Linked DNA regions of Alligator mississippiensis. The protein of the gene in region 4 purifies or fractionates together with the protein of the main gene of each other region. This does not show direct contact. Links are inferred from orthologs where the notes say so. Each region holds a gene or a part of one and is shown on either strand. Other genes may lie near its edges. The genes, in order: MAFK, XPO1, HMMR and BACH1.

Region 1 (7,978 bases), on a different chromosome or scaffold from region 4:
TGACGCGGATCCCTGCGGTGGCATTAAAAATACCCCCCTGCCCAGGCATGCTGAGCTCTGGTATTCAGCCCAAATCACCGAGCCTTTCCTCTCTGCACCGCTATTTTGCTGCCCCCGGGGCCTGATCCTTTGGGTCCTAAGCAGCTTACATACACGTGTCTCCTCTTGACATTGTGGTTGCGGGAAGACAGGGAGGTCTCCCAGCTTGCAGCACTTCTGCCTGCTATACCGTAAAACTCCTGAGAGAAGCCCCTTCGGAGTCTCTACCGCTTCTGCCTAGTAGCAGCTCATCAATCCTACCGTATTGCATGCGGCTTGAAGTTCAAGTTATTTCTACCCAAACCTTTTCTGTTTATAGCCAGAGTTTTAATAAACTCCATAATCAACAATATGGTATCGATGGTTACCGGGTCCTCTTCATTGTCCAAACACAGTGGGAATTTGTAAAGAGGATTTTAAAGCTCATTACAAACCTGGATAAGTCTTATGATCCCTGCTTCCCAGATGATACTGGGTCAGGGGCTTGTTCAAGGCCCCCTAGGCCAGCGGTTCTCAACCTTTTGCATCTTACATCCCACCAACCATTTTGTCAAATGGTCCCACCCTATGTTACATTCACTGGGGAACAGAGAAAGGAGAGCTTTTTTCTGCTTATTAATGAAAGCCAACAGGAGGTAGTTCACCAGAAAAATGTAACAGCCCTTTCCACGTGCACTAAACAGAAGCCAGAAAGAAGTAGCTATTGTGAATGGGTCACCACCACTAGCTGTGTAATTTCACACTGAAAAAACCCTGTTGCTTACAAGTGCAGACTGGCCACAACATGGAAAAGCCTCTCCCAGCCACCTGAGCAGGCTGCCGGCTAAAGTGGGCTTCTCCAGAGAAGCAGAGCAACTTTACCAAGCTCAGGGACCCAGCCCTGCCCCTTTAACTGAGCCCTTTATTAATGTGATCAGGCATGGCTCTCACCCAACACCAGACAACGGTTTTCTAACCCAGCTGTGACTACACCAGAACCATACTGCAGGCTGCCTTCCCCTATCCTGTGACAACCTGGTATTAAAAATCCCCCATGCCAAGGTACTCTGGGATCTGATATTCACTCTGGATGTGGGAGCTCTGTCTCTCTGCTCCATGCTAACTTCAAGCAGCCACAAGGAATAAACCCAGCATTACTGGCCCCATACTGTGAGTGGGCACAAAGAAGCTACAAGCTGCCCTTGAACTCTGAGCCCTAGGTGTGTGCGTCCACATCAGGTACACCCACGCCTGGGACTGCAGTCCACAGCGGGAAAGTCCACCGCAGGGTTTTAACAGGGTGCATAACCTTGGGACACATGAAGACCAATGGCATTGGCACCTGGGCCTTAGAGCTTTGGAAACTTTAGCCAGCCTGGTTCTCTCCGTTCCAAATGGACACGACTTCTGCTTGGGAGCAGTGCTGTACCTAGACGCCTGGTGGTCCTGGCCAAACTTTTAGTATTGCCTGAGCCAACCCTAGGGTGGTGCAGGACACAAGGCAAATCAGCCTGTGCGGGGCCCCCTTAACACTGCATGGGGTCATGGTACCCCTGCAAGGGGTGGCTCTCCGTGCTTCTTCCACGGCACAGGGCTGAGCCGCCAGCTCCAGGCAGGCCCCATGGGAGGGGCTGCAGGCACTCCGCCCGGCTCCGCAGGGCCCCTGCAAAGTGCAGGGCCTGGGACGGTCGCCCCGATCCACTGTACCCTAGGGACGGCTCTGAGTATTGGGCCCCCTTCGCCAAAGATAATGATTTTTTTTGTTGTTGCAAAAGTCTTTATCACATTTGTGGTACTGATGTATTTAAATAGTTCATTCTCAACTGACAACATTGCCAGTCCCATATATGCACAATATTAAAACTTTTTTTTTGCAATTGTGATTTTTTTCCCCATTTTTGGGCTCCCTCTTTGTCTGGACCCTGGGCAGCCACCCGGTTCGCTCATGCCTGCGTCCAGCTCTGCTTGGAAAAAGGGAAAAAGGAGCAGGAAATGAAAGCCAATAAATAGCCAGTTCTGACTCCTTGATCTGCTGCCTCAGCAAATGTTAGAGTAGCCTGGAGGGTGCTCTAAATTATGCTATTTCTATGTCTTTACAGGAACCATCCTACCAGTTGAGGGTACTTGGAGCACTTAAGGGTCCAGCCACATTTCCTCCCTGCTGTTCTCACCCTCCCCTGTGCCTTGGGCTGTTCAAAGGAACATGAAGGAGCCAGATATGCTGGCTTGACACCTCCCCTTGTTACTGGGAAAATCCCAGCAGGATTTTCTGCTCCCTTCACTACCCGAGCTGTGCAAAAGGGGGTGGCGCGAGACAGAGATTCTGGCTCAACATATTGATGATGTTTGACATCTTTGACATGACATCTTTGGCCCTCAAGCTGAGCACCACTGGCCTAGATTGGCAGGTAGTTTTTCAGTTCAAATATAGTCACAAGCCTAATCACAGAGAGACTAAAAGCCTGGTGTCGATATACAAAACTCTGCATCTTTTTTCATTAAAAGTCTAGGCTAGTTCACCCTGGTCTAAAATTGGGAAGACGTAGTGCTCTCGGGGGTCTAAAATGTTGCTCGCACGGTCGACGCGACGCTCAGCGACGAGGAAGCGCCGCCACAACTCGGGATTTCGTTGGCCAGTCGCAATATCCAACGAACGGTTAAATCCCCGGCTCCTGAAAGCAGACACCGGGAAACTTTTGCTTTTAAGGACAGATGTTTCCTTCCTTCACCAAGGATTTGAAAACACCAACCATCCGCCAAAAACCCCAAAGCCTTTAGGTTAGGAAGGAGGTGATTTTCGTGACTGGGGTCACAACTTCTGCACGCGGGAGGTGGGCGACAAGACGAAGACGGGACCAGCAAGTCCCAGCGCCAATTCTGCGGCTTTCCTCGCCTGCCCTAGCCTGGAGGTTGCTTCTTTCTTCCCAGGAACCTTCCCAGGGACCTCGCTTGCCCTCGCCCAGATGTGGCAACTGGACACGTGCCTTTTTCTGCGGCCTTGCGGGTTGCGCAAAAGCCCCCGGGGGCGGCTCCAGGAGGAAGTGCTTGCAAAGCAAAAGAAACTGAAACCGAAACAGGCAGGGAGGAACAGGCCGGGGGAAGGGAGGTGAGGTGGGGGTTCCTCCCCGCCACGAGCCAGGGAATAGTGTAGCAGAGGCTCCGACGACCCTCCGCCGGGAGCCCCGCGCGCTTCGCCAATGAGCACGGCGCCCGACCGCGCGCGCGCTCCGCCAATCACGAGAGCCCTCACGCTTTCTCCCTACCTTCCACATGAATGAACCGCGTGGGCGTGGCCTCGTGACGCGGCGGCGCCGGCAGGGGCGTGGCCGCGCGACGCGAGCCGTGACGCGTGGTTCCCGGAAGCGGGGCGGGCGCTGGTTGGCCGGGCGGGCGGGCGCGGGGGGCGGGGCCGGTGCGGGGCGGGGGGGGAGGGGGCCGCGCTTGTTGTTGTTCCCGGGACTGGCTCGCAGGGAGGGCGGCTGCGGAGCCCGGCCCCGCCGCGCGGGTGAGGGGGGCGCGGGGCGCGGAGCGGGGCGGGGGTCGGGCCCGGCCGGGCCGAGCCGAGCCGCTGAGTCAGCGCGGGGCGCACGTGGCCTGGGCCCGCTGGATGCGGGGTCGGCCCCGCCGCGTGACTCAGCACGGGGCGCCCGGCCCCACCCGGGGCTCTGCTCCCACGTGGCCGCGGGGCCCGGGCTGGAGGGGGAGCACGGAGCCGGGCTGGGGGCTCAGTACCAGGGAGAAGCCCCCTCCGGAGGAGGGTCCCCAGGGCTTGGCCCCCGTGGCCTGAAGAAGCCCTCGCCTGTTGCACAAAAGTTGGGCGGTTTGGGAAGGGGCGGGATGCTGCCTGGCCGGGGTCCGCCTGGGTCTCGAGAGGCCGGCGAGACCCCGGCTGTGCTTGGGTGGACCTTGGGGGCGCTGGAAACGAGCCAGCGGGTCCCCGGTTGTGCCCTGCGCGCCGTGCTCGGAGACGCGCCCGGGTCGCCCTGCGTCGGGCGGATAGTAGCAGAGGGCGCGTTGCTGCGGGAGAGCGATGGAGCAAGTGACTTCTTGGTGGCAGGGATGGGAGCGACGGCCCGGCAGACCGAGGAGGGGCCGTGCTGGAGGGGTCCCTGGCTGGCCGGTGGGGACGCAGGCCAGCCGGGGACGAGGTGGCTTGCTGGAGGGGACACCTGCCAAGTAGACCGGTGGGGTTTCGAGACCGCGCCCTCCGCAGAGGGCGGGTGGGGCTTCCTGAGAACCGCTTTTCTCCCCCTGAGCGGGTGGTGGGGTGGGATGTTAGCTCCGTGGGGGTGGAGAAGCCTGGCTTCTGCTCCCTTCCCCCCCGACAAAGGAGTGGCACTAGTGAGAGAAATGTCCAGGCCGCGAGGGAGGGGAAGTGAGACATGTCTGAACTCTAGAAACATGCCATGGTCAGTTGGAGAGAGAGCTCCTTCCTCCTCCTCCTCCTCCTCCTCCTCCTGTGGCCAAGGGGTGCTGGGACTCTGCTTCCCTGGGCTGTGCGGGGTGGAGGAGAGGGGACTCGTTCTCCAGCTCCTGGAGGAAAGCAGGCCGGGACAGCTCCACTTAGGAGCAAGCGCCCTTTGGGGAAAGTGGCAGTGCAGGAAATGGAAAAGCTGCCATTCCTTCTCTGCCCTCCTGCCCCCTTCCTAGCTCAGCTCTGGGGGCCGGGGAGAAGGCAAAGAGGTGAGAAGCCAAAATGCCCCTGTGCCACCAGATCCAAAGCTGCACGTCTTATTATTGGAGGTTCGGTCCCTGGGCGCTTGGCATGTGCAGGCAGGGGCACCCCTGCTCCCACGCCAGCCCAGCCAACATGCTGTGCCGCGGTCCTGCAGTGGCTTAGTATGGAGGGAATTTACCTTGCTGCTTGCTCACTGATGGAGCCGGTGCTTGCTCCCTGCTCTCTGTCTCTTCCGTGTATACACTGTAATGCAGAGTAACCTTCCTCCCGCAGTCACTTCCTAAACATGATGGATGCTCCGGTTATCCAATGGCCGTGCCTAGCATTGGCAGCACCGAGGGGAGGGAGGATTAACCCTGTTTGTACCTATCCTGGTGACAATATGGAGGATGTTTTTTTCAGGGAGGAGATGGTTACAGCAGGGAGAGGGCTTGTGGGTTTTGGTTAGCAAGATGCTCCACATACTTTAGACTTTGGGGCTTTATTCCTGCACTTCGGGCTAGCTGTGTTAAATGATCTTGGGGTAATTCATATGCAACCTCAAGAAGTATTTTTAAGTAAGGCTACAAGAGGTCCTTCATATTGGGGAAGTTTCACCTATGTTCTTTCCCCAACCTGTTGCAGCGGTAGTGGTTTAAACCTGTGTCTGGCTTGAAATAACTAACAGAGTTTAATGGTGAATGAAATAAAGCCTAAGCAGCCGAGTGTTTATAATGGCTTTCTGAAGCCCCCTGGTTTTGCACTGAAACTTTGTAACAGTCGGATGTTTGGGAGGGGAAGCAGGGACAGCTGGAGCTCTTGGCCCCCCAGGCGGTATGGCAGGCAGTCAGGGCGGGTGGGATAAGTGCGCTTGCAGCTCGTTTGAGTAAATATGCAGCTGCGAAACTCTCCAGCAGTGCTGACGCTTGCAATTATCAGGGAATTTCAGGCTCAGCCCCCCATCAAGAGGCGCAGGCGGTTTATGCTCCTTTCTGGGCTGTTGTTTCAGGCTATCTGCAAACTCGGGCAGATATTGCTGCATCGCTTTTTGCTGCTTCTCTCTTGTTTGGAAGGCTGTCTCACTGTGGGCCTGGGATGCCAAAAAAACTTTTTTTTAAGTAAATGAAAGCAATTATCCTGCTGCTCAGCTCTAAAACTGGGCGCATCCTGCAGCACGCTTCGCTGTCTCGCAGTCTGGGTGCCTGAATAACCATCCTCATGTCTGTCATCATTCACATTCACATGGAGGTGGAGGTTGGACTTAGTCCACGGGGCTCAGGAGAATTCACAAGCCCTCATCTCAGTTCTGCCTCTTGGCCCCATAGAAATCGCTGACCACGTACTACCTTGATTTCCCCAGGTCACAAAAGTACTTTTTCTGTGCTATGGTGATGTGGGACTTAACTCATTTTTGCAGTGTATTTTCGTTTGATCACTTCCATAAAACGCACTGTGGGGAGGAGCGCTGCCCTGTGTCTGCTGTGTCTGAAGCTGTGAGCAGTGTATCCGACCTCTTCAGTAGCTGCCGTTCCCCCTCCCTCTTCCCCCCCTGTAAGTCCAAGGTCTCTGTAATGTGACACACAGGCACACTCTCATGATAGCCTGAATCGGCCGCTCTGTAACCATAGGCTCTCTGCAGCATCTGACTAGGTTGTTTACCAAAGCATTGAAGACTGTCTGATCCCTGTCCAGGCTTCCCCCGAGAGAGCCTCCGAGTCGTGTCCCGGCAGCTCTCAAATTCTGTCTGAAGGTTCCTGAATCTGTTCTTTGCTGGTGGATGCTGGTTCTGATCCATAAGGGAAATGGAAAGCTGGCCAGCTGGGCGAGTTTAGTGTGTAGAAAGTAAACAGTGACTCACCCCTCCCTGGTCTCTTCTCTGGGCTCATGGAGAATTGACTGCTTTGCATGTGTTTGCTGTCTCCTTGATTCACATCATCAGCATCCCCCCGCACCCTCCCTTCATCCAGATGAACGACAAGTGTCAGTTTGTCTTGCAGAATGCATGAGGACTGCTGAAGCAGGGGGAGGACCCGGGGATGATGGGAGGGATGGTGCTGTCTGCATTTCACACTGCAGCGTGTTGGAAATCCATGTCAGGTCTCCAAGGGGCAGAGGCACAGAGCTTGGGGCTTAAGCATCTGCAGTTCCCTTCACCTATAAGACCTGATGTCCTCCTTGGTGGCCACATTCACGCGGCCAGCTTTGGAGAAATGGTCGGCTGATGTGACCATCTCGCGGGTGTCTCCTCTGGTGTGTGGCGGTGCGATTGTAAGATCTGGGTAAGTGTGTGCTGCTTTCGGGGTTGAAATGCTCTGTGTGGACCAGGAGGAGGGTGGGAGGTTCAGGCTTCTGGCAGCAGCGGGAACCAGGACTTGCTGCCTAACCTCCAATAATCTGACCGCTCATTGATGGCTGCTTGGAGCTTGAATGTGGAGGGTCACCAGTCTTTTGAAACTTTTTGCCTTTATGTCCCTTAAGAAAGGGAAAGAGGGCCAAGTAGCTTGTGGGTAAACTGGAAGTGTGGATAGGTTGCTGACCAGCTGCCTTACAAATCGTCTCACTGTGTTTTGGACTGGCTGGAGGCAGTACTGCTGATTTAAGCCTCTGGGCAGAATGGAGATTCTTGATGTGATGAGTTGTACAAGACGGAGAGACCTCTACCATGCAACCATCCTGGCATGGCAGTGCTCCTAGGGAGGAGAAAAGCGGTCATTGGCCCTTTTGGGCTGAGGATTGTGCATCTTCACATTGCTGTCCTTGCCGTCTCGCGTGTGTCTGAATGGAAGCTAAACGCTGATGGGGCTTTCTGCTGGATAATTTTGTCCTGGCCACTGTTCCATTTTGGGATAAATGGGTTTTAATGTTCAAGGCTGTGTACAAATTACTCACAAGTGCATCCATGCCTGCTGTGAGGTAGCAGCTATGACTGTCACTAATGCATTGCTTTGTAAAGTGCTTTGGGAGCCCCAGCATGTGAGGAGTGCTATTTAAAAACTGATGTAGTCTACTGTGCTCTTCTTCCTTGCAAGTCATCTCACATCGCAGTGCACTCCTGCCTCTATCCACTAGTTAGGGCTGTCTATCTCCCCTGTCTTGAGCTGCCTCTAAGAAAATTAGTAGGGGTTATCAGTGGTGCCAAACCAAAACCACGCAGCTTGGAATTCTGTCCCGGATTCTCCTGACAATGTTGACAGTGATAAGGGGAGGTGAACAAAGGTATTGGGAAGAGTGCCAGGGGATCATTTTCGTCTAAAAACATGACATCACTACAACAAAAGCACTTCTTAATACTAAAGATGCCAA
Region 2 (7,967 bases), about 77 Mb from region 4:
TCACTAATGTAATGCCACATTAATGCAAACATGACAAGCACATATAGTTATGTTTATCACCTTGCAGTCAAACTAATTCTACCTAGTACCCTGTGGTCAAAACTAGATCCAACTAGTTTAGCACTAAAACTTGTCCACTTCTATGACCATTTCCTCTGCCTCTGGACCCAACTCACTCCTAGAAAGGATCCTGCAACCTACAACAGGGTCTACTATGTGTAAAAGTTACTGGTTTCTGAATGACTAAGAAACAGATTTAGGCTTTCCACATTTAAGTTTTAAACTCAAAGCTGAACACAGCCATACACCTGGGATACAGTTTAAGCAACTGCTGCACAATATGAAAAAAGATCTTGCAGAAAAAGGCTCATTCAGAAAGCCCCTCATTCCAATTTATATAACTAAATAATGCTAAACAGGTTTTCTATTTATAGATAAAACAGAATACTACTACTTAAATACCAATGAGAAATATATGAACTTTGCTTTAAAATCATGAAATTCATTAATTCAGCATGGTGGCAACACATGAATATCATCGTTCAATTTTTAGTTACATTTTTGCATCGTTAGCATTTTTAGTGTAAATGCCAGCATGTATAGGACAAGTTTATCCAGAAAGATATACACCAAATCTAAAAAAAGTGGCTTATAGACTTCAAAAAATCCTACATAGTTGTCATGTTTTTCTCTGGATTCCACACCTCCTTTAGGATTATACAAAGGACAGATACAGGAGTGTAAAATAGGCTGAATAGTACACAAGCACACTGACACGCTTAGTTCCTTTTAGCTCTGGAAGACTCCCTCTCAACTGTACCTCAGACAAAGCAGTAAGTAGTATTTAGTAAAAAAAAAACCAAAAAACAAAACACCAAACCAAAAAAACCGCCCAATCGATTCAATCTTTAAGAACAAATAACCCCCCTCTTCACCCAAATGCACTCAGTCAGACACACCCCTTTCAGTTTGCATCTGCGCTCTCTAACCAGGGAACAGGGTAGCCGTTTTTCAATTCAGCCAACATTTAAATCAACATATTCCACTAGTAACCACATTTATTTTAAGTTTAAATCTCCTTCAACCACTTTAAAACAAGTGGTAAAAACACACTTCATCTTCCACGTGACTAAGGAAAGTTAGCCCCACGGAAGCAGAAAGGAAATGTTCGGATTAGAGCTCTTTGCCACTCCCAGCATTATCTTCAAATGACCTACCTAGTCTTGATGTGAAGTACCGAAATGGCGGCTTTGTGGTCAATGCCAGCCTCCCTCTGATCAACTTGATTCCTTACTTACTCCTAGCCGAAATGATTACCTCAGAACTGTAACGTTTGATTTACTACACACCACCTCCCCACATGAACCAAAGCAGAGTTTAAGCATTACCTCCAAGTGCTGCACTAGATTAACTCAAAACACTCCTAATAAACCTGGATACTGACAGCAAAACAAGTAAAGGAAAGACAACTAAACAAGTCAATGAAAAATGAAAGTAGGCCACATGGAAAGAACCAGATGTTTATAGAAGCCCAAAAGAATGAGCCAACCGTTCATGCAGTGGAGCCAAGCCTGAGCAGCCTTGCAGAAGTACAAAAACACTTGTGCTGAAAGCAAAGTCTGTGGCTACATAACAGATCTGCACCCTGCTTCTAAAAGACCTGGGCTGCTGGAATAGGGTGCACTTCCAAAGAGCAGGGGGAAGGAAGGATAACCTCTAGGTCAAATTCAACTCTACAAAAGGCGACAACTGCTTAAGGCTTGGGGGGAAACAGTAATTTCATTTAAGCACAGGGCTAGCAGAAAATCCCCACCACGCCCCATTTTAGGCTAGGAAGTGGCCCAACCTGCAAGGACAAGTCACATGTGAAACCACCCACCCACCCACCAGGGGTGCGAATAATCAGCTCCTTTCCATCCCGCGCACACAAAATCCCTAATAAAACTCTCCAACCGCCTGCATGTGCACACGTGCTGGGGGGGGCAGGGATTCAAGCACACAGGCCACCAGAAAGCAACTTTCCAGGCAAAAAGCCGCGTGCGCGCCCGCCGCGTGGCTCCAGCGCCCTCCAAAGCAAGAGCCTTCCGCTTGCAGCGGGAGCTCCCAGGCACCCTCCCCCCGCCACTGCAGCGCGGACACCACATCCCTCCTTAAACACATCATGATTATCGTTATTATTTTGATGCAAGCCCCCCCCCCCCTGCGCGGGCGCGGGCACGGACGGCAAGGCCCGGCGCGACGGCGGCGGCAGGGCCACCACTGCAGCCCCTCCCTCCGCCCGAGCCGCGCGCTCCACACAGGCCCCCACGTGACGCGGGGGGACGTTTCAATCCTGCTGCACAGACACACGAAAATATTTCTGGAAACTTCCACTCCTAATAATTTGCAGATCCCGACCCGCCGCCCCCTCCCCCCGCACCCCACCGCTTCCCGCCAGCCTCCCTCAACCCCTCCGCGAAGCCCGCGGCCGCCCCTGCCGCACACGCGCCTCCTCCCCCCCGCGGCACTCACCCGAGTGGAGCTGGCAGCCTTTGAAAATAAAAAAAAAAAATGAAGGGGGAAAAAAAAAGGGGAGGGAAAAAAAAAAGTCGCGGGAGCCGCCCCGCGCCTAGGCCGCTGCTGCCCCGCGGGCGGGCGGGTGGACGTGGGTCCCCGCCCGCCGCCGGGAGGGCTCGACTGTGCCCCTGCTGCCGCCTCCGGGCCGGGCTGCGTGCGCGGGGCTCCCCCCGCCGCCTGCGCGCCGGGCCAGGCCAGGCCGGGCCTGGGGGTGCGGGGCCGCGCGCGCTCACTGCGCCCCCATGTCCCTCCCCCCGGAGCGGCGGCGGCTCCGCAGCTGCGCTCGGCCTCCCGGAGCGGCGGCAGGTCCCCCCCACACACACAGGCACACGCGGTGGCGGAGGCGGCGGCGGTAGGGACTGAGCGCGGCGCGTCTCCCCCTCCTAGTGCCACAGGCTCGGAACCGGCTCAAACCGGTTCAGACTGGGAGATTCCATCTCGGTTTAGTTTTCAGCCCATGGCGCCGCGGAGCGTTTGGAAACCTCGGGCCTCCGCCCAGCCGCCACTCCCATTGGCTCCCGCCGGGGCCGCCGCGCAAGCGGCTGTGCCTCTCATTGGCCGGCTGGCCTGCCCATCTCTTGCGAGGCTGAGAGGGGAGGGAGGGGGGAGGAGAGGACCCGCCCCCTCCCCAGCAGTCATTTGAGCGCGCAAGGAGGTGGGGAGGAGGGGAGTGGTGCTGCTTTCTCACTGGCCGCGCTGAGCTGTCGCTCAAAGAGCGCGAGCCCGCCCCCAGCTCGCAACCCCGCGGGCGCGGGGGAAGGGGGCCTGTTGCTGATTGGCTGGGCGCTTGGAATGACGTAGAGGTAGAGAGCGGCGCTTTTTTTCTTTTTATTTTTTCTTTTTTTTTTTTAATGGCGGGCTTGTACGAGTGGAGTGGGGGTGCGTGATCACAAAGGCGCGTGGAGGGAGGGGCGGTGCTTGGCTTTGCCTTGGGGGGAGGGGTGGGGCCCCTTGGCGTTGCGCAGCGGGGCAGGGTAGCGCGGTCTGTTCGCCGCTGCCTGCCTGTCTCGGGGTGGAGAGAGGGCTGTAGGAGCCCGTTGCTCTGTAGGAAGCGGGGTAGATCCCTGGGCTCGTCCCTGCAGTAGCCTCAGTCCCTGCAGCTGCAACCCATGCTAGGAGAAGGTCCGTGCAAGAGGTTGACTTGCAAACCCGTTTCTGTCCTAAGAAATAAGCTCAACGTTTCCAGACAAGGTTCTTTGGATAAATGTGATATCTTGTATTAGGCCAACGCAAATAGTTGGAAAACTTCTTTGCAAGCTTTCGGGTATAAATACCCTTCGTCAGAATGAGGAAGCCCCTGCAGCTGGTGTACGCTCTTTCTGGAGGGAATGGATAGTAAGCCAGAGGCTGGTGTGCATGCAAGAAAGGCCGTCAGTTAAGATGCAAATCGAGGAGTCAGTGGGTGATTTTCTCATGAGAGAGAGGAATGATAAACTCTCCTGAGCACAAGGTTTGAACCCTCGCTTGGTGCCTTCTTGGACCTCTTTGATTTGGGTTTTGAACTGTCATGGCACGAGTTGGGCTTCCACATTCCCTGGCATTTGTACCTGGGGTTTCACTGTCTTGGTCATTCTTTGAAGAACCCGCATAATCTCTAAAGCGAAGTACTGTTACCAAAGGCAGATGTAAAGAGGGATTATTTCTGTGTTTCGCAGCATTTCTTGCAGATGACACTTGGGAACATGGTGTAGTGACACTGGAAGAAGAAAACTTGTGCATCTTCATTTATGCACTTTTGTATGTTTTTCAAAACTGACCAGGGATTTTGAGATGGCAAATTGGAGACACTCCCCACCCCAGAAGTCTGACTCTTCAGGATTACCTTCAGAAAACCAGGGTTTTCTTCAGAAAACCAGGGTTTCCTAAAGCAGGGCTGGCCAACCTGTAGCATGCATGCTACAAGTGGCATAGGCCACTTCTATGTGTAGCATATAGGGAAAGGACAGGCAGCATGGTGGCAGGTAGGGCAGGGAGCAGAAGGCAGAGTAATAGATCCAGTGGGGAGTACAGGCAAAAAGTAGAGTAGAAGTTTGGTCAGAGAGCAGAAAACTGAACAGCAGATCAGGTAGAGGAAAGATCAGAGTGGCTTTCCAGGTTTACGTGGCACACCTGCCCAAAAAGTTGGTCCTCACTGTTTTAAGGTGTCTTAAAATACCATCCCCAAATCAAGTGATTAGTTGTCTTGGAAAGATTACGTCTAATAAGCTTTTTCCTCTTACATGGTATGGCTGTCACTCTATTCCTAGTAACTTTTATAAAATGAGGAGAATTCAGCCAATGCTTAGTTAGAGATGATAATTTTTTATTTAACTACATTGTTCCAGGCACTTCACTGGTAGTTGGAGTATATCGCACACTCACTAGATCCTTTAGAACTTACCAAGATTCCTCACCCCGTCTGGAAATAAGCATTATTTCCATGAAAGACTGTATATAAAATATGCATATTCTACATCTGGCTATATATTGGATAATGAATAAACTAATCATCATCTTACAGTCAGTCATCAAAACAACATAGTCCAGGGAAGAAAAATTGTAACAAGATACTGAAGAACATTAACAAAAATGTTTCTGCGAGAACCAGCTAGTTCTGTTGTTTTTACAAAGTGAAAAATGTAGAGATCATACAAGTGTGACATTACTAAATGGTAGAACAAGTTAACAGGTGTTTTGGGAAGAGTCTGGTGCAGCACCTGACATCACTGCATATACTAGTCTATCATGTGTAACTGGCTGTAGTGTTTCTGCAGAGAAGCTTAATTTAGGCTACTTGTATCAGGTCTGTCAAGCAGGTTTCTATGGTTTGATATAATTTAAGAGGAAAAGAAACTGAAAGGCTTTTGTTTTTTAAAAAGAAAAAGGTAAGCCCTCCATTCCCGACTTTCCAATATTTACTATCTACAAATAAACTGTAAAACATAGAACTGTGGTTAAAGTGACCCCATGCTCCTCCACCAAGAGCTATTTTCCATATCTGATTGTCCCTGTGTGTATTTGCATCATATCTAGTTCATTGTCTTTGTGGTTTTCTCCATTTCCCTGAGAGAGGCATCCAGGAGGCCTGTTACTTAAGCTAAGGTAAGTAGGCTGTGATATATAAACATCATGGCAACCATGTGTTGGTTTTTTTTCTAGTGGTGCACCAGTAAAGGTTTTTTGGCAAATACCGATAGCCAATTATTCACCAGGCATAATTATTCACCAGGCATATTGGCCAATACCAATCTGATAATTGATTTACAGGAAAGCAGCTGAGCAAAATGGAGAGCAGCGTCCTGCAAGTAAGTCTGTGGAGGGGAAGGGGCAGACCGAGGCCCCACGGTGAGGGAGGGGGAGGGTCTGGGATTGGGGGTCCTGCCCAGCCAGAGCAGTGAATGGGACCCTGGGGCTTGGGCGAGCTGCAGGACAGAGCTGTAGGTCGCAGGGCAAGGTCAGGAGGGTGGGAGCCCTGAGACCTCAGTGGGCAGCCTCCATCTGCCCTCACCCCGCACACAAATTCAGGGGGGCATGTAACGGGGCCATCATGAGGCCAGTCCCGATGTCTGCCTGCCCACCTGTCTAGGACAGTCTGCCCCATCTCACCTGTCATGACTTGAAGTATTAAACTATATATTAAAACGTGGGAGGCAGCCCATTTAGTGTCCCAATGCCTAGGGTGGCTTAAGTCTCCTCTATACAGTGTCCCATACCTCACAGATGTCATCCAAAAGACTACGCTCCAAGGTGCTCTGCCACAGGGCACATGCCCCCATTCCTCCCCCAAAGGAGCCACCCCCTTCTCCCCCACTCCATGCCCCCTAGACATGCCACCCACAACTCCATCCTGCTCCCTGCCCGAGCCTTTGGTCCTATTAACTGCTCTAGCTGGGCAGTGCCTCTTGCCCCTGCCCCACTCCTTCACTGTTGGGGCCTCAATCTGCCCCTCCCCATGTCCCTTCCCCTCTAGAGACTTAACTGCAGGGTGCTGGTCTCCACGCTGCCTGGCTGCATTCCTGGCCACATGCATGCTGCAGCTGCATGCACGCACAGCATCCAGGACCCCAGCCAGAAGACACATTATATTTATTGATACATTGGCTACACCAGCCAAAAAAGCAGATAGCCGATGATGTTAATTTTCCTTTTATCAGTGCCGATCTGATATGGCACTGATATATTGGTGCACCTGTTTTTTTTTTCCCCCAGTTTGTCTGAAGACTTTAAGATGTCTATAGTTGTAAAATAACTTCTCCCTTCCCTCCTGTCTGCCAGTGCCCCTCATATCCCCAGCCCATGGCTTATTTAGATATGTAGTTGAGCTGTGAGTTGGTTGGATACAGGAGTAATCTGCACGAATTGATAGTGGACAGTGACAAAGGCACCCATACAGGGTGATGTGCTTTCCAGAAAATGTTATTTTGAAGCATTTATCTGAACTAATTCTGAATGGTAACACTAAATAAATAGACTGACATTAAAAAGAACTGTTGAGATTATTTGGACTTCCTAAACATTCCTTATTTCTATACTTTGCAGCTTTTAAGTTATTTCTTAACTTTGTATTTTTCAGCAAATCTTAAAGGCTTTTTTCACTTCTCTCCCTTAAGTGGACGTATATTTTCAGTCTTACCTCTTCTCTAACAAAGTCTATTTCCTCTAGAATTACTTTAGGTATGTGCTTTTAAATTTAACGAAGAATGCTAGTAACCTTATCAGCTGGAACAATTTGTTTCTATAAATTATGCAAATTTAACTGCATTATAGATGACAGCTGTTAAAAGTAGTATATATATATATATATATCTTTGTGCACTGGAACTTCACCAGCTTTTCATCAAAGCTGCGCCTGAGAACTTCAGCCAGGTTAGTTCTACTAAAGAACTTAAACTGGCAGGCTTGAATAGATCTAAGGAAACTGTCTGCATGCCCCCAGAGTCTGTAAAGCCAATTCTGCTGAATCCATGAATAGAAATATATAATTAGTTTTTCTTCAGGCTGGTTCTGCCAAAGACTAAAGTCTGTGTACTCATTTCATTGTGCTAAACACTTAATCCGAGTAGAACTACTAGCTCTAGAACACAAAGTGATTATGATATTTCAGTCTTGAACACTAAAAAGGACTGTGATGGAACTATTAGAGTTGTAAATAACTGATTTTATGCATGATGCCTCCAGAGAAAGATACTTGTTCCCAAGGACAGGCTACTTGAAAGAACTGGATTTTTTAGCTGAGACTGTTTTAAGTGCCAGTTGAAAAAATGAAGCACCTTAAAAATGGAAAAATATATTTCTTTCTCCACTTCTCTTAAAAGATCTGTATGGTTCATCTCTAATTTAAATGAGCAGCTTTTCTGTAGCATGGGTTGATAGGCAAAAAATCTTCAGCTTTGGGTATTTTTGGCCAGTTAAAGGGTAAGGTATCATAATTT
Region 3 (7,259 bases), on a different chromosome or scaffold from region 4:
TTCTCTTCCTGTATTTGGCACTGCCGAGGCCACATCTGGAGACCTGTGTCCAGTTTTGGGTCCCCCCACTACAGAAAGGATGTAGACAAATTAGAAAGAGTTCAGCAGAGGATAATAAAAATGGTTAGGGGCTGAGGCACATGACTTATGAAGAGAGGCTGAGGGAACTGGGCTTATTTAGAGGCTGAGGGAACTGGAGAAGAGAAAGACTGGGGTGGGATTTCATAGCAGCCTTCAACAACCTGAAAGTTGGTTCCAAAAAAGATGGAGCTAGACTATTCTCAGTAGTGGCAGATGACAGAACAAGGAGCAGCAAGGGACAGTTAGATTAGATCTTTGGGAAAAAAAAACAACCTCTCACTAGGAAGGTAATAAAACACTGGAACAGGTTACCCGGAGAGGTTGCAGACACTCCATCCTTGGAGGTTTTTAAAACCTGGCTAGACATATCTTTGGCTGGGATGATCTAGTTGGAGATGGTCCTGCTTTGAGCAAGGGGGTTGGAGGTCCCCTCCAAACTAAATTGTCTATGATTCTATTCCTAGACCTATGCTTCTAGGGGCACAGAGGCTAGGTATTCTGAGACACCCCACACACTAAAGAGAAGCAGCACCTGAACTGCTGTTCATTGCCTGCTCCTTCCCAAGAAGAAGCATGCAGCTCTCCAGCTCCAGTCACCCACTTACTCAGGCAACAGTGCAAATAGTGGCATAGAACAGGGGTTCCCAAACTGTGGTACACATACCCCTGGTGATATGCAAGACATCTCTGGGGGGTACATGGGAAAAATTGCGTAATAGATTTAATTTTCATTAAAATAATAATTAACATTTAAGGGATTAAAACATATGCTGGTAGGGGTATGCAGGCAGTTGGCAAATCTGGAAGGGGGTACACAATAAGAAAGTTTGGGAACCTTTGGCATAGCAAATAGAATCTTACCACTGTTCCAAGAGAAAGGAACTTTCTTCTATGTGTGGGAGAAGGCATATTTTCACTGTTCAAATTCTGTTGATTTTCCATTGTCCCTGAACAGAAAGTTTTATCAAATTAGATTAGAAGCAAACCATTGGGGGGGGGGAGGGGAAAGGACATATTTTTTGAGTTCATCCACCTCAAATCCCAAGTCTACTTATTTTTACTAGTCTACATTCAGCAAGTGCATACACCAGCCTTATACGTCTGGGCACTACAAGAATCAGATCGGTCCTTCCAACAGGTAGTCCATTCTAAAAGTGTTGTTTTATTTTTCCCTGTCCATACTCACACACTGCTACACTGCAATGAGGTGATAACTTCAAAAGAAAAACAATTACTGCAAACACATTACACTAAGGGGTGGTGGAGGCAGGGTGGGAAGAAATCAGTGAAGCAGATGCATGAAAAGCCACCAGGGAAAGAGATACAAAGAAGCATACTTTCAAATTGTCAGCAGCCCTCTAATAATCAGCAATCATCATGGAGTAAAAAGCAAAACACTGAAAAATCTCAAAACACTAAAAAAAGGAAAGCAGCAGCATTTGAGCACCTACAATTTCTGTTTTGCAAGATCTCCAAAACTTCCAAAGCTTGCCAAGTGTCAAGCCATGGCACTGCTTACCTTTCTGTTTTCTGAAGTGGGATTTGTCAGAGATCATAGGGCCTTTTACAGCATCTGAGGAATCGACTTCATGGGACCCTAGCAATGGGATGCAAGTTAAAAAAATGACAGTGATGTTTGGCACAGCAGAGAACACTGGAATAACCTGACAGGGAGAGAATTAAGTTTGTGGATGGGTTGCCACAATGAACAAATGTATTCAGTGCCCCTTCGGGTGCCTGTAGATGTGCGGAGATGCTGCTTTTACTGTGCTGGAATTACTCCAGCAGCCTCCACGTCTTGCGTATCCACCATCTCCGTGCATCAAAATGGCCCGAATGAGCTTTAGTTAGAGCCACTGGTGCTATTTTGAAGTGCAGGATACTGAATACATCAGATGCTGTGGGTGCTTTAGAGTGGCTCTTGAAGCTGCTCTAATTAAAATGTCATGTGTCCCCCCCGCCCGTGTCAAGTTCATCCTGTTGAAAAATTTTCCTCTCTTGCGAGAGCAAGGCACAAATAAAAGAACACAGGCAAGTCACAGCATCACAGAGAAGCGGGGCTGGAAGAGACCTCCAGAGATCATCTAGTCCAGTGTTTCTCAGCCCGTGGGTCGTGGCCCAAAAGCAGGTCGGAAGAACATATGAAAAGGTTGCGAAGAAACTTTTAAAGGAGAATCCATTTTTAAGGAGAGAAACGTGGGAAGCTGCAGCTTTTCCCTTACAGGCTGGCACTGTTGCAGCCTTCAAGAGGCTGCTGCCCACGCCCCCACATACACTCCCCCACACTGGGGGTTTGGGACAGCGGGTCAGGGCTGGCCACTGAGGTTTACAAATAGCACTGGATAGGTTGAGAACCATCGAGCTAGTCCAACTAGCCCGATCATCCCCATCCAACCTGCCCCTACAACTACACGTTAAACTCTAGGGGTGCCGTGTTGTGGGGCGGCAGCAGCGAGGCTGCGCCGGGCAGTGCTTGGGGGTCACGAGGAGGAGCTGAAGGAGGCGGAGCGGGTCCGGCCCCGACGACTGGGGAGCACGTTACAACGCCACCGTCCCCCGGCACGGAGGAGCGGACGGATCTGAAATCAACCCGGGCAGCGCCGCGCCCCCTGCCAGGAAGGGGGAGACGGGTACAGTGAAATAAAAGGAAAAAAGAACCGGAGGAAAGCAAACCCCGCCCGGCTCCCCCAGTTTTGCAGGCGGCCGCGCTCACCCCGCGGGCAAGGCAAGCGCCGGCAGGCGGGACTCACCCGCGGTGTCGTTGAAGCGCCGCAGCGGCGCCTTGGGGAAGGACATGACAGCCCCGCAGCAGAGCGCGGCGCACCTGAGCCACCGCCGACCCCGGCGCCGGATTCAAAGTGCCTAACCGCTCTCCCAGCAAACCCCGGCGCCCAATCACAGCGCTCGACCTGTGAGCCGCTCGGCCAATCGCCGCTCCTTCCTGCCGCCGGCTGGAGCACGCACAGGAAACCACCCGGAAGTTGGGGCTTAGCGCCGTTGTGCGCCTGCGCGTCTGGCCACTTCCGGTGTCAGGGGGCGGCCGCGCGGGGTTGGATGTCGGCTCCCTTCGAGGAGCGCAGCGGGGTGGTGCCCTGCGCCACGCCCTGGGGCTGCTGGTACCAGACGCTGGAGGAGGTGTTCATCGAGGTGCAGGTGCCACCGGGCACGCGGGCCAAGGACGTGCGGTGCTGCCTGCAGAGCCAGCGCCTGGCGCTCTCCGTGCAGGGCCAGGACGTGCTCCAGGTACCGCGGGCCCGCGACGGAGGGAGGCCCCGTGGGAGACGCCCCGGCGGTAGGGTTGCCAACTCTCCAGGTTTGCCCTCGCGTCTCCGGGAACGAGATACAAATCTTCAGGAGGCTGCTGAGAGTCACCCTGGAGATCAATGATAGGGCATTCATTCAGATAAATATTCAATGTTGAATCTGATTTTATACAGTATCCCAGTGGGTTTTTGAAATGTAATAGTAACATGCGCTTGCCTTACTGGTGTGAAGTCTGTGCACTGTAATCAGTAGCTGATATACACAAGCACATGGGCACGTTCGCATTGTCACGGGCGCGTTGATGTTCAGAAACCTCTCGGAATGAATTCAAACAGAGTTGACAACCGTACGGGGTCGGTGTAGGCTCCCGAAGAGCTCCACAGGCTCCGTCGCACCACGCCACACAGCTTCCCAGACAGCAGCTGTAGGATCTGTGTGGGGAGAGGGGGAACCCCCTCCTGGCCACACGGGCCCATACTGTGGCACTGTACTCGGGCAGGGGGTGCCTTGGGAGCGAGCAGCCTTCACGAAGCTCCGGAGGCCGCAGCGCTCTGGCCCCGGCCTCAGTAAGCGCTGCTTGGAGTGGAGGGAAACAGCCTGGGCTGACTTGTGCCAGAAACAGGGTTGAACCCCTCCCCACCGGACTTATGAAAAACAAAGATAGAGAAACCTTACTGGGAAGAAGTATGTGACCTGGGTGTAGCTGCCTCCCTTCTGTTCAGTTGGCAACAACCCTGCAAGCGCTGAAGGGCCCGTGAAGCATTACTCACTCCAGATGAGGCCCGTGCGCTGACCCACTGTTGTAGGCGCCCAGTAGAGCACAGCCGGTATAGGGCTTTATGAACTAAGTGTTAACACTGTATCATTTGCTTCTCCTTCTGAAGTGTCTGTACTGTGCTAGCCTGCTAAATGTTTCAAGTAGGATATGTAGGCAAAGTCCCTCTCTTTAAGCGCTTAACTATAAGAAGGGTATTGTTATAAAAAAAGCATTGTAAAATATTAGGCAGGCAAGGTACTTTGGGTAAATCTGATGTCTTTTATTAGACCAACTCAGATAGTTGGAAAAATTCTTCTTTGCAAGCTTTCGGGTACAGTTATCCTTCATCAGGCAGAGGAAGCGTCTGCAGATGGTCTGTGTTCTTCCTGGATAGAGTGGTAAAGCAGCCAGAGGCCAGTAGGTATGCAAGAAAGCCAGTCAATTAAAATGTAAATTGGGTTGGTCAGTGGGTAAGAGACAGGTGGGGGGGAGGGGAATGAATGTAGCTGTAGTCAAAGGATGGGGAGGTGGGAAGGGAATGAGAATAGCTGGTAAAAAGTAGAGGGTTTACCTGGAGAGTTGAATGTTAGGCAGGTTATAATGTGTCAAATCCAATGTCTGTATTTAATCCATGATTTTTTTTGTATCCAGTAAGTTGATGAAGTGAAGTTTGTAGGCTCATCTGTGAAAGGTGTTTTGTAAATTCCCTTTGAGAATTAGAACTGAGATTGGAGAGAGAATAGTTTTCTTGTGAGAAGTGGGCACCCACAGGTAATTGATATTCTTTTTTTTGACAGATTTTCGGTGTGCATTCGTTTTGGTGCACAGTTGTTGTTTGGTTTCTCCTACATATTTTCCATCAGGGCATTTAGTGCACTGGATGAGATATATAACATTTCCGGAGGTACGGGTCTAAGATCCTGGAATGTTGATGGTTCTATTGTGACATGTAGTAGTTGTGGGGGTGGTGGAGATGCGTTGGCAGGTTTTACATTTCTTGTCATGGCATGGTGTGGATCCGTTCACCATGTTTTGGGTCATAGGAAGTTTGCTTCTGGTGATGAGGTTGGCAAGGTTTGGTGCTTGTTTAAATGATAGAACGGGTGGTTCTGGGAAGATCACTTTAAGAATAGGGTCTCCTTCTAGTATGGGTTGCAATTGTTTGAGAATTTTCCATATAGGTTCCAGGGAGGAATGATATGTCATAACCAGTGGTGTGTGATTTATGGGGAGTACTGCAGCAGTTCTTCATGTGGTATCCGGATGGCTCTTTCAAAAGTACAGTCTATCTCTCTGGAGGAGTGTCTTTGTTATGTGAAAGCCTTTTGAGATGTGTGAGGTGAGGATCACAGGTGTTCTCAGTGCAAATTTGGTGGTATCGGAGAGCTTGGCTGTATATTACAGCTTTCTTGGTATGTTTAGGGTGATTAATGGTTCAGTGCAGTCCGTGGGTTTCTTGTATATGGTGGTCTGTATTTTTCCATTTTGGATAGTGACCATCATGTCTCAAAAGGAAATGCTGGTATTGGAGTATTCCAGAGAGAGCCTGATGGAGGGGAGATGATTATTGAATTTCTGATGAAAAAATCAATTGCAAGTTTTCAGTCCAAATGATAAAGATGTCATCAATATATCTTAAGTATAGCAAGGGTTTGATGGTGCAGTCCTTGAGGAATTCTTCTTCTAGGTAGTTCATGAAAAGGTTGGCATACTGTGGGGACATTTTGGTACCCATAGCTGTGCTACGGTCTGGAGGAAGTGTTGGTTATTGAAAGTGAAGTTGTTGTGTATGAGGATGAAGTGTATAAATTGAAAAATATCTTTGAGTCTGTACTCTGAGTTGTAATCTTGCTCTTGTAGATATGGAAGGCAGGCATTGTGTCCTGATTTTTAGTTGCTATTAACTATTTTAGCAATTACTAATAGCAACACTCAAACTGTAGCAACACTCAAATTTTGATACAGCATAAATCAATGACTGTTTTCCTCTGAAAGCAGACTTGCTTTTTTCTTGGTATTTTTCATTAGCATTAAAAATTGTATCAGTTTTATGTAACGTTATAATTCTTTTTCAGGGTAAACTCTTTGACTCTACAATAGCTGATGAAGGGACATGGACATTAGGTACGAATATGCTTAAAATGAAATATTGAAAAGAGACATTTTTTGTTTGCATCTCACTGTATTTTAAAAATCTGGCTTTGAAAAACAGGCACATACTTTTATTTTTTGTTCTGCTTTCTTCAATAGTGTATTTTTCAGCTGTGACATAAGATTGGCATGTAATTTAACAAAAAATGATGAAATGTAAAATACAGTTAGTCTGACTCTCCCTGTGCAAAAGTGCTTAATACACATTATGCCAAACTAATGGGAATTAACTAGTCTGTTGATAGGAAGATCAGGAGTCACATGCTGTGGAGGAGAGAGCTTGTAATTGACTTAGATAAAATAACTTAATCTTGTACTTGTATGAAGCATGAGTTGTACACCTAAATGTATAGATTGAGGCTGAAAGAGAAATCCCTGGAAAAATTGGGTTCGAATTCTCTAGTGGAATAACTGTTAATTTAAAAAATAACCAGCACGGTTTATTTATATACAGCAAAAGCTTTGTTATCCGGCACCATGGGGAATGGGGGGTGCCGGATAACAAAATATTCCAGTTAACTGAGAGGCCCAAACAGGTGTCTTTGCCTGTTTGGGCCGCCGCCCTTCCCGCCACATCACAGACCCTCCCGCCGCATTGCTGACCTTCCCACAGGCCCCGAGGGACAGTGAGGGCGGCCCCCATGCAAGCTACTATGCCCCAGGCCATGGGGGCTTGGCAAAACCAGAAGTGCCATGGTGGGCACTTCCGGTTTCGCTTTTACGTTACAAGCCAGCATGCCGGCTTGTAAGGTGCCGGTTAAGGCAGCTTTTACTGTACTGGCATAATAATTAGTCTGGGAAAAGTTTCTTCAAGAAACATGGGGCATATAATTACTGTTTTTCTTGTTGGTTTCTCACTCATCCTTTACCACAGTGTAATGCTTTATCCTCAACCACAGTAGTTCTTTAACTGCTGTTGCTTGTGATGGAGATGGGAAGTTACAAGATATAAATTCCCTCTTTAAAGAGTTAGGATATGCTTGTAGGACTTGGTTCTAGTGGTGAA
Region 4 (7,269 bases):
TTGGTGGGGGGACAAAAATCTGAAATATGATTTTAAAGTTAAAGAATAAATAGTATAGTATTACTTCACTCTTGGACAAGTACCATCTATCATAACTGCAGTTCCTGCACACCACTGCACTTAAGAACTTAAGAATTGACATTCACTGGATCAGACCATAAGTCCATCCTGCTAAGGATCCCGTCACAAATAAATCCCACTATACCCCCCTGGCACATTCATTTTAAACCTTTGACCTCCACTCCCATCCCTGTTTTGTTATAATTTATCCCAAGCAATCAGCTGCCACTTTCCCTGTTGCCTCCCTCTCTGAGGGGGCCTTAGTTTCACGTGGTAGGCATTCCTCCCACAAACCCCTGAAGTGGCAGATAGGCCTGTGTCACACATTCAGCGTGCTCTGCTCCGTATCCCACCTTGTTGCACTCATTTGAAACTTTGGACCTCACTCCTGTCTACCTAGTGGCCCTCCTTTTTAAGGGAGGCTTATAATGTTTCCTGGTGGTCACTGGCCTGCATTCTTTAGGCAAAAAATAGGCCTGTCGCACATCCAGTGTGCTCTGCCCCGTGTCCCCCCTCAGTGCACTAGTCTTGAACCTTTGACCTCCAGCCCCATCCCTGTTTTGTTATCATTTGTCCCAAGAAATCAGCGACATGCTCCTAGTGGCAGGGGGGCTTATAGTTTCATTTGGTGGCCCAAGGTCCATGATTCCCCAGTGGCATGTCAAAAGGCCTGTCTCTCACATCTGGCGTGCTCTCCTCAGTGCCCTCCCTTGTGCACTCAGTTTGAACCTGCTCCTGTCCTTGTTATGTTTTCAGTTGTTCCCACGGAATGAGTTGCTGCTTTCAAAGTGGCCTCCCTTTATAAGGGAGGCTTTTAGTTTCTCGTAGTGGGCACTGGCCCACAATTCCTTTAAGGCAACAAGTAGGCCTGTGTCATACATCCAGGGTGGTCTCCTTGGTGTCCCCCCTCAGTTCACTCATTTTGAACTTATGACCCTCATTCCCATCCCTGTTTTGGCTTTCAGTTATCCCAAATAATCAACGATATGCCCATAGTGGCCCCCATCACCAAAGGGGGTGGGGGTCAAATCCCTACTGCAATATAGCTCTAGTTGGTGGGCTTTGGCCCGTGTCACATTATGGCATATCAAAAGGCCATGTCACATGGGCAGAGAGCAGAGGCTGGAAGGGAGAGAGAACAGATTATGACCAGGGCTTTTCCTCCAACTGTTCCTCTCTCACTTGCAGCCTCCAGCATTCAGGGTCTAGAAAAAGTTTTGGTTCAGAGGCTGTGCTCCTCACTTCCATACTCAATCGCCACTGAGGCCCCTTTCAACCAAGAATTTTACAGAATTGTAGAAAAATGAGGGCTGGAAGGGACCTCGGGAGTTCAAACCCCTGTTCAGTGCAGGACCGTCCCTAAATCTTTTATCTCAATCCAGTCTTTGTCTAGCCAGGTCTTAAAAGCCTCCAAGGAGGGAGAGTCTACCACCTCTCTCATAACCTATTCCAGTGTTTTCCTACCCTCCTGGGGAGAAAGTTTTTCCTCCTATCTAACCACAACATCCCATGCTGCAATCCCATTTTGAATCTGGCTACAGCGTCAGCTCCTGATGGTGAGGAGCCCCAAGCTCAAATGAAGCTCAAATGAAGGAGGCGAGGAGTTTACACTTGAACGATGCATTGTGTGGAGAACTTTCTTCCACTAGTTTAAAAAAAAAAAAAAAAAAAAAAAATGGACCAACCCGCTTCTCCCAGGACTCCACACACCCCAACGCCTTCTGCATCCCCAACCCTCAACTGGATTTCAGAATCAAGTTGCAGCAGGGGAAGTTGAAACTAGATCTTAGGAAAAACTTCCTCTGGAGGAGAGTAGTAAAGCACTGGAACAGAGAGGTGGTACACTCTCCATCCTTAGAGGTTTTGAAGGCCTAGCTCAACAAAGCCTGGGCTGGGGTGATCTAGTTGGGGAAGGTCCTGCTGTGAGCAGGGGGTTGCACTAGGTCAGCAGTTCTCAACCTATTTTATATCAGGACCCATTTGTAGTCATCAATGGTCAGTCCCAACTTTAAGTAGAAAACAGCCCCGGATCCTGCTGGTACCGCTCACTCCTGACCTCTTGCCCCTCAACCCAAGCCCCAACCCCCCAGCATGTGGAGGGATGTGTGGGGCATCAGGGGCTCCAAGCAGCCAGCCTGCAAGGGAAAAGCCACAGTTTCCCATGTTTTTCTCCATTACAGGAGAATCTATTTTTAAAGTTTATTCATGATCCTTTCACATATTCTTGCCACCCACTTTTGGGTGGTGACCACAAGATAAGAGCTGCTGCACTAGGGGACCTCCTGGGGTCCCTTCCAGCACTCATTTTCTAGGATTGTTTCCCAAAGACTCCTTCAATGCCTGGGTCCAAAACAAAGCCAAGGGGCAAGCCTGTGGGTAAGCAGCCCCACTCCCTCCCCCTGCCCCTAGCAAATTCCCAGCTGCACCCAGATGCTCCAATGCCCATGCCAAGGTGAAGCCGCTTCACACCCTGACCCCAAAGCGCACCTCCACCCCCTCGTGGCTCCTGCAGCCTAGAAACACCCCCCCCTACGGGCAGCGCCTTTATGTGTGTCTCCCACACAGGCGCCCCCAGGCGGGGACCTGGGTCAGGCTAAAGCTTCAGAGCTGGGGGGGCATCACGTGACACCATCCCCCCTGCGGGACCCCGAATGGTACTGGCCAGGCGGCGTCCACCCACGAGCCCCCGAATACTGAAGGCGAGGCGGTGCGCGCCTCTCCCACCGGGCAGTGCGCGTCGCTAGGGCCCGGCCGCGCTCACCTCGTTGCCGGCAGCCGCCGCTGTTCCCCGCGAGCCACCACAAACCTGAGTTGCTGCTCCTCCTCTTCCAGCAACAGCCCCAAACTGATCGTCCGCACAGTCCAGGCTGTGGCCCGACTGCGGAGAGAGCGGTCAGATGACTCCCCGCAACAGGACCAACCAGCCCGCCCCCAAACAGCGCAGCCACCATTTACCCCGCCCCCGCCGCCCGCTGATTGGGCGTTGCTATCTTGAGTGACATTCTGAGGCCTAAAGCCCGCCGCCGCCGCGCATGCGCATTCCGACCAACACCGGGGGGCGGGGGACGGACCCCGCTCTCCGCCCCCCTCCCACCAGCCTGAGAGGGGCGGGGCCTAGTCTCACTGGAGGAGCTCCTAGCATACATAGCCTGACTTGTAGTGTTCGTGCTGGGTAGCTGCCCTGCTACCCTTCGCCTGCTCGCAGCCGCTCTCCGCTGGGGCTGGCATAAAACGTCTTTGCCATGGGACGCCGAGGCCGTGTTGCCAGAGTTATGATAATGATCATATCTGCCCAATCATTTCAACCCAGGTATGATGTTTGATCAGTGTTCAAAGCTGACGATAATTTGGAGGCAGCTAATTGATGCAGCATATGCAAAACCCACCTCACTCTCAGTGAAGCTTTAGCTGATTTTTGGATACTTTTTTGGGGGGGAACTGTTTTGTATTTCAGGTCAAATAAGCAGAATCGGTTCCGAATCCTCTTGACTGAGCAACACTCAAATCGTTCAAGCATCATACACCGTACAACCAGCAAGCATCAGATATTCCCAAATCCATTGGTGGGCATCCCACATGCAGGCAAAGGCCTGGAGGCTTGGGGTTCGGATGCCCCCGCATAGCACTTGCCCTTAACCAAAGGCCACAGGAGCAAGCTAGGGAGGAGTTGTTCATTTCCATAAAGTTGGTGTGTAGCCGAGATCCTCCCATGGGAAGCTAATTACAAGCCTCATTGGGTGTCCTGTTCACTGGACAGGGTGCACCCTCCCCTATGCAGTGCCATTTTCAGATGTGCTATCAGCATTTTCTTATGACTGCTTACCTCAAAATAAAGAAAAGCTTCAACTTTGATGACCCAGTTCTCACTCACTCACTTGCGAGTTACACGGAGCAATACAAAGTAAATAAAACTTATTTGCATGCTTATTTTCATACTTGTTCAATGTACAATCGTTTTTCAGAAAATATGATAATTTTGAGCTTCCAATATTATAATTTAATATTTAATACCTGGCTATGCTGGCTTGAAGAAGCAGGAATACTGCTGTGGATGCAGCCCTACCCACTGCCACTTGAGTGGCTGTATTAGAGTCCTAGAGTTAGGGGGGGTGTTATTTACTTACTGAGGTATCTTGAGTTAACAAGTGGAATGAACAGCAGCCCTAAAAGGTCATCCATCTGCTCTAACATTTTTTTTTTAAAGAATAAAAACAGTTTATACAGCTGCTGAGAATCTTTAGTTTTTTGACTACAACCTGCCTGCACCAACCCTACAAATGCAGTGCATGACGTAGCATCTTGGTTCCTGAACCCAAGTGAAAAGTGGTGGTTGTTAAGAAGAGTAACAGTGCAAAGAAACATAATAGTACATCTCCATCATTAGGGAGATGTACTAATGTACATAATGTACTAATTATGAAACATAATGTACTAGTTATGCCTTATTTTGAATTACAGGATTCCCATCATGGCCTGTGAATGCAGAATTATAGCCGAATTCTTGCTTCTTTCTGTCCAGCCTTCCTTTTTTTTCTGTTGCTTGTAACTTTCTCATACTGCTTTCACACACGAGAATGTCTGTTCCTGGTCTCAGGCCTACTCTGAGTTATTTGAGGAAGATGTGTCCATCGTGTTGAGTTAACGTTAGCTGTGGGTGAAGAGGTGGGGGGAGTCCCCTCTATTTTCAGGGTAAAATGATTGTACCTGGAATAACTGAAAGAAACAGCTTAAAGTAGAGACTTGAAACTAAGCATTATTGAAGAAGAAAAAAAGTACTGACGTTTGAAGGAACATTGTTCACTATTTGTATAATTATGATTTTTATAAGGAAATGTTCTAAAGATTTTTTTATGAAGATACAGTGTTAGCTGAATTTCTACTCCTAAAAGTCACAGGCCTTTTACTTTCCAGTCAGGACTCCTAAGGCTAAGTTTTAAGGGGATCCTCTGCCATAGTGGGATTAGTAATTGGTTCATTCTACCTGCATGCAGTGCGGTGGGTATCATTTATACACCAAGCTACCCATTTTTTTTTCAATTGCAAATGACAAAGGGCCTCAATTCATGTCTACTTATCAGTTATCATATCAGCTTCACTGAAATCTGATGAATTCACCTGGATTTTCCTAATGCTTATCTAGTCTCTTGCCTTAAACTATTTGGTTGTAATCTTAGCATTCTTTAACAGAGAAGATAATTATTCAGACATTATTTCTTGTTATTTGAGGAAGATTTAGGCTGTCTATTTTTGTAAGGTCACCTCATAACTTTCCCCCATGTCTTTATTTAGGCCCCACCAGTTCTGCCCAGAGTGGCACAAGGAAGCACAGATAAGGCACAGTTGCAACCACAGGGCATGTTTGGTTTGGCATTTCTGCATAGTTCACTACGTGATCTCTACTTTGTCTGGGAAGTTTCACCCCTGATTTTTCTGTTGTACACATGGATGGAAAAAGCTTCAAAAACAGGTTTGATTATTGTACAACCCAAGGCTTCCTTCAAAGCTACTGATTTACAAGTGAAAGGGGGACAGTGTCTCAGGTGGAGTATGTTTTTCTCTATTGTTATCATACCAGGCACATCAATTTTATCCATGTTCCCAAATACTGCTCCTTTCATTTTGCTATTATAACACAACTAGTATTCTTAAAAGAGCTTAAATGTTTTGTGTTCTGTAAAATGAGTTCGTATTGCTGAATAAGAGTCACTTATTGTAACTAAGAATATTACGGCATAGACTGAAGTAGATGAAACTTGTTTGCTTAGGTTAGCTTTGCAAAAGTGAGATTGGGTTGCACAACAATTTTCTCCTCAAAGAGCCTATGGTATAAAGGAGCATACAGATATAAGCTGCTCATGTCCTACTCCAAGAATTGGGGGATATATTTCTCTCATTCAAAAATGTGCTGCAGAATAAGGATAAGGACAGTTTCAAGTATGTGACTGGATGGGGGAATCAGGATTCAGAGGTATTTATTGACTTAAATGAAAGCAAATTCAGTCCTTTAATTTGATAGCTGTGGAATTTTATCTATATAATTACTGTCTTTATTTCTTATAGTTTGCTTTTTATTTTTTCTATTAAGACTTCATTTTCATCAGGAATGATGATTTTTTTTAAAGCCACCAAAAAGAAAAGATTGTCATATGGGTCAGCCACAGGTTGTAGAACCAGGAGTTCTTGAGTCCCATCCTAGCATTACCACCGATGGGATACCTCTGCCAACACCTTTGTCCTTGGTGTTTTTCTAGAGAAGTCTTTGTGACCTTGCTAAATATTTTCACTGAGCTGCAATTTCCTCCATCTGTTAAGGAACTCCATCTGTTAAAATGCTTTATTCATAGATGGTAGTATTATAAAACTCCTCCATTTTAATTAGGTAGATTTTTATCAGTGGCTATAGTTACCAAAGATAATGATATTTTTACATAAGCATATTTAAAATGCACTTAAATCTAACCAGAATCAGATGTCATGAATGATATTTTACTAAATGCATGGGAAGATTATGTTTACCAAACTTCTGGACCTTTAATTTTGACAAGGAAGGGTGACAGAGAGTGTTTTAATACACATTATAATACTAGTTGTTTTAGTTGGCTGATGGATTTCAGAGGCATTATCCAAGTTTCACTACAAAATAACATGGGTCATTTTGGATAAGTAGACTTAAGGATAGCTATTTCCTTATATTAATCTCATGACAGCAGAATATTATCTCTTTCTTTTAGTCAAAAGTTGATACATTTAGAGCAACATTTTGTTATTCTGAATCTTAGTTCATACAGTATACCCTCCTATCTGTTATGACCAGTAGTTTTCATTCTCCCACTGATGTTGATAACTGTTCGCTGTCAAGCCCAGATATGAAGCAAGCCACTTTATGGGAGCTGTTAAAATTGAACAAGTTGCGTTGCAGGACTGACTGAATAGTTATCCTTTTCAATTGTCACATATGACATTTGAGAAGAAAACACCACTATGGAAGAACTACAATCCAGGGGACATTTATTTTAAGTCTGCTAAAAGTTTTATTCATTCCCGTCTCCAGACTTATTGACGGGAAGAAGCAATTCCAAGTAAAAAGGATTCATACTGTGGACTAAAAATTGACATAACTCTTGGGCCATGCTCACCAGGAAAAGGCCCCTGTTTTATGTTCACAATGGATTATTTTAGCAGTGCTGGTAGCCTACAGATCCCACAGGG

Evidence for each region.
Region 1: the proteins of BACH1 (region 4) and MAFK purify together in Homo sapiens (affinity purification with mass spectrometry; 6 studies listed by BioGRID and IntAct, counting the BioPlex papers as one, with this or other methods). This does not show direct contact. The link is inferred for Alligator mississippiensis from reciprocal best matches to the Homo sapiens genes BACH1 and MAFK.
Region 2: the proteins of BACH1 (region 4) and XPO1 purify together in Homo sapiens (affinity purification with western blotting; 3 studies listed by BioGRID, with this or other methods). This does not show direct contact. The link is inferred for Alligator mississippiensis from reciprocal best matches to the Homo sapiens genes BACH1 and XPO1.
Region 3: the proteins of BACH1 (region 4) and HMMR purify together in Homo sapiens (affinity purification with mass spectrometry; 6 studies listed by BioGRID and IntAct, counting the BioPlex papers as one, with this or other methods). This does not show direct contact. The link is inferred for Alligator mississippiensis from reciprocal best matches to the Homo sapiens genes BACH1 and HMMR.

The regions. Positions count from the first base shown.
Region 1 is NC_081836.1:50,335,737-50,343,714, forward strand, and holds the start of MAFK (transcription factor MafK), read left to right. Parts: upstream 1-4,970; 5' UTR 4,971-7,978. UniProt on the Homo sapiens protein: Since they lack a putative transactivation domain, the small Mafs behave as transcriptional repressors when they dimerize among themselves.
Region 2 is NC_081824.1:212,302,464-212,310,430, forward strand, and holds the start of XPO1 (exportin-1), read right to left. Parts: upstream 3,019-7,967; 5' UTR 2,880-3,018; intron 2,530-2,879; 5' UTR 2,512-2,529; intron 1-2,511. UniProt on the Homo sapiens protein: Mediates the nuclear export of cellular proteins (cargos) bearing a leucine-rich nuclear export signal (NES) and of RNAs.
Region 3 is NC_081832.1:56,347,407-56,354,665, forward strand, and holds the start of HMMR (hyaluronan mediated motility receptor), read right to left. Parts: upstream 3,014-7,259; 5' UTR 2,878-3,013; coding exon 2,832-2,877; intron 1,679-2,831; coding exon 1,601-1,678; intron 1,029-1,600; coding exon 943-1,028; intron 1-942. Other genes in the region: NUDCD2 (nudC domain-containing protein 2), read left to right, coding at 3,136-3,324, 6,178-6,226. UniProt on the Homo sapiens protein: Receptor for hyaluronic acid (HA). Involved in cell motility. When hyaluronan binds to HMMR, the phosphorylation of a number of proteins, including PTK2/FAK1 occurs.
Region 4 is NC_081824.1:289,797,655-289,804,923, reverse strand, and holds the start of BACH1 (transcription regulator protein BACH1), read right to left. Parts: upstream 3,001-7,269; 5' UTR 2,867-3,000; exon of another isoform or gene 2,822-2,866; intron 1-2,821. UniProt on the Homo sapiens protein: Transcriptional regulator that acts as a repressor or activator, depending on the context. Binds to NF-E2 DNA binding sites. Plays important roles in coordinating transcription activation and repression by MAFK.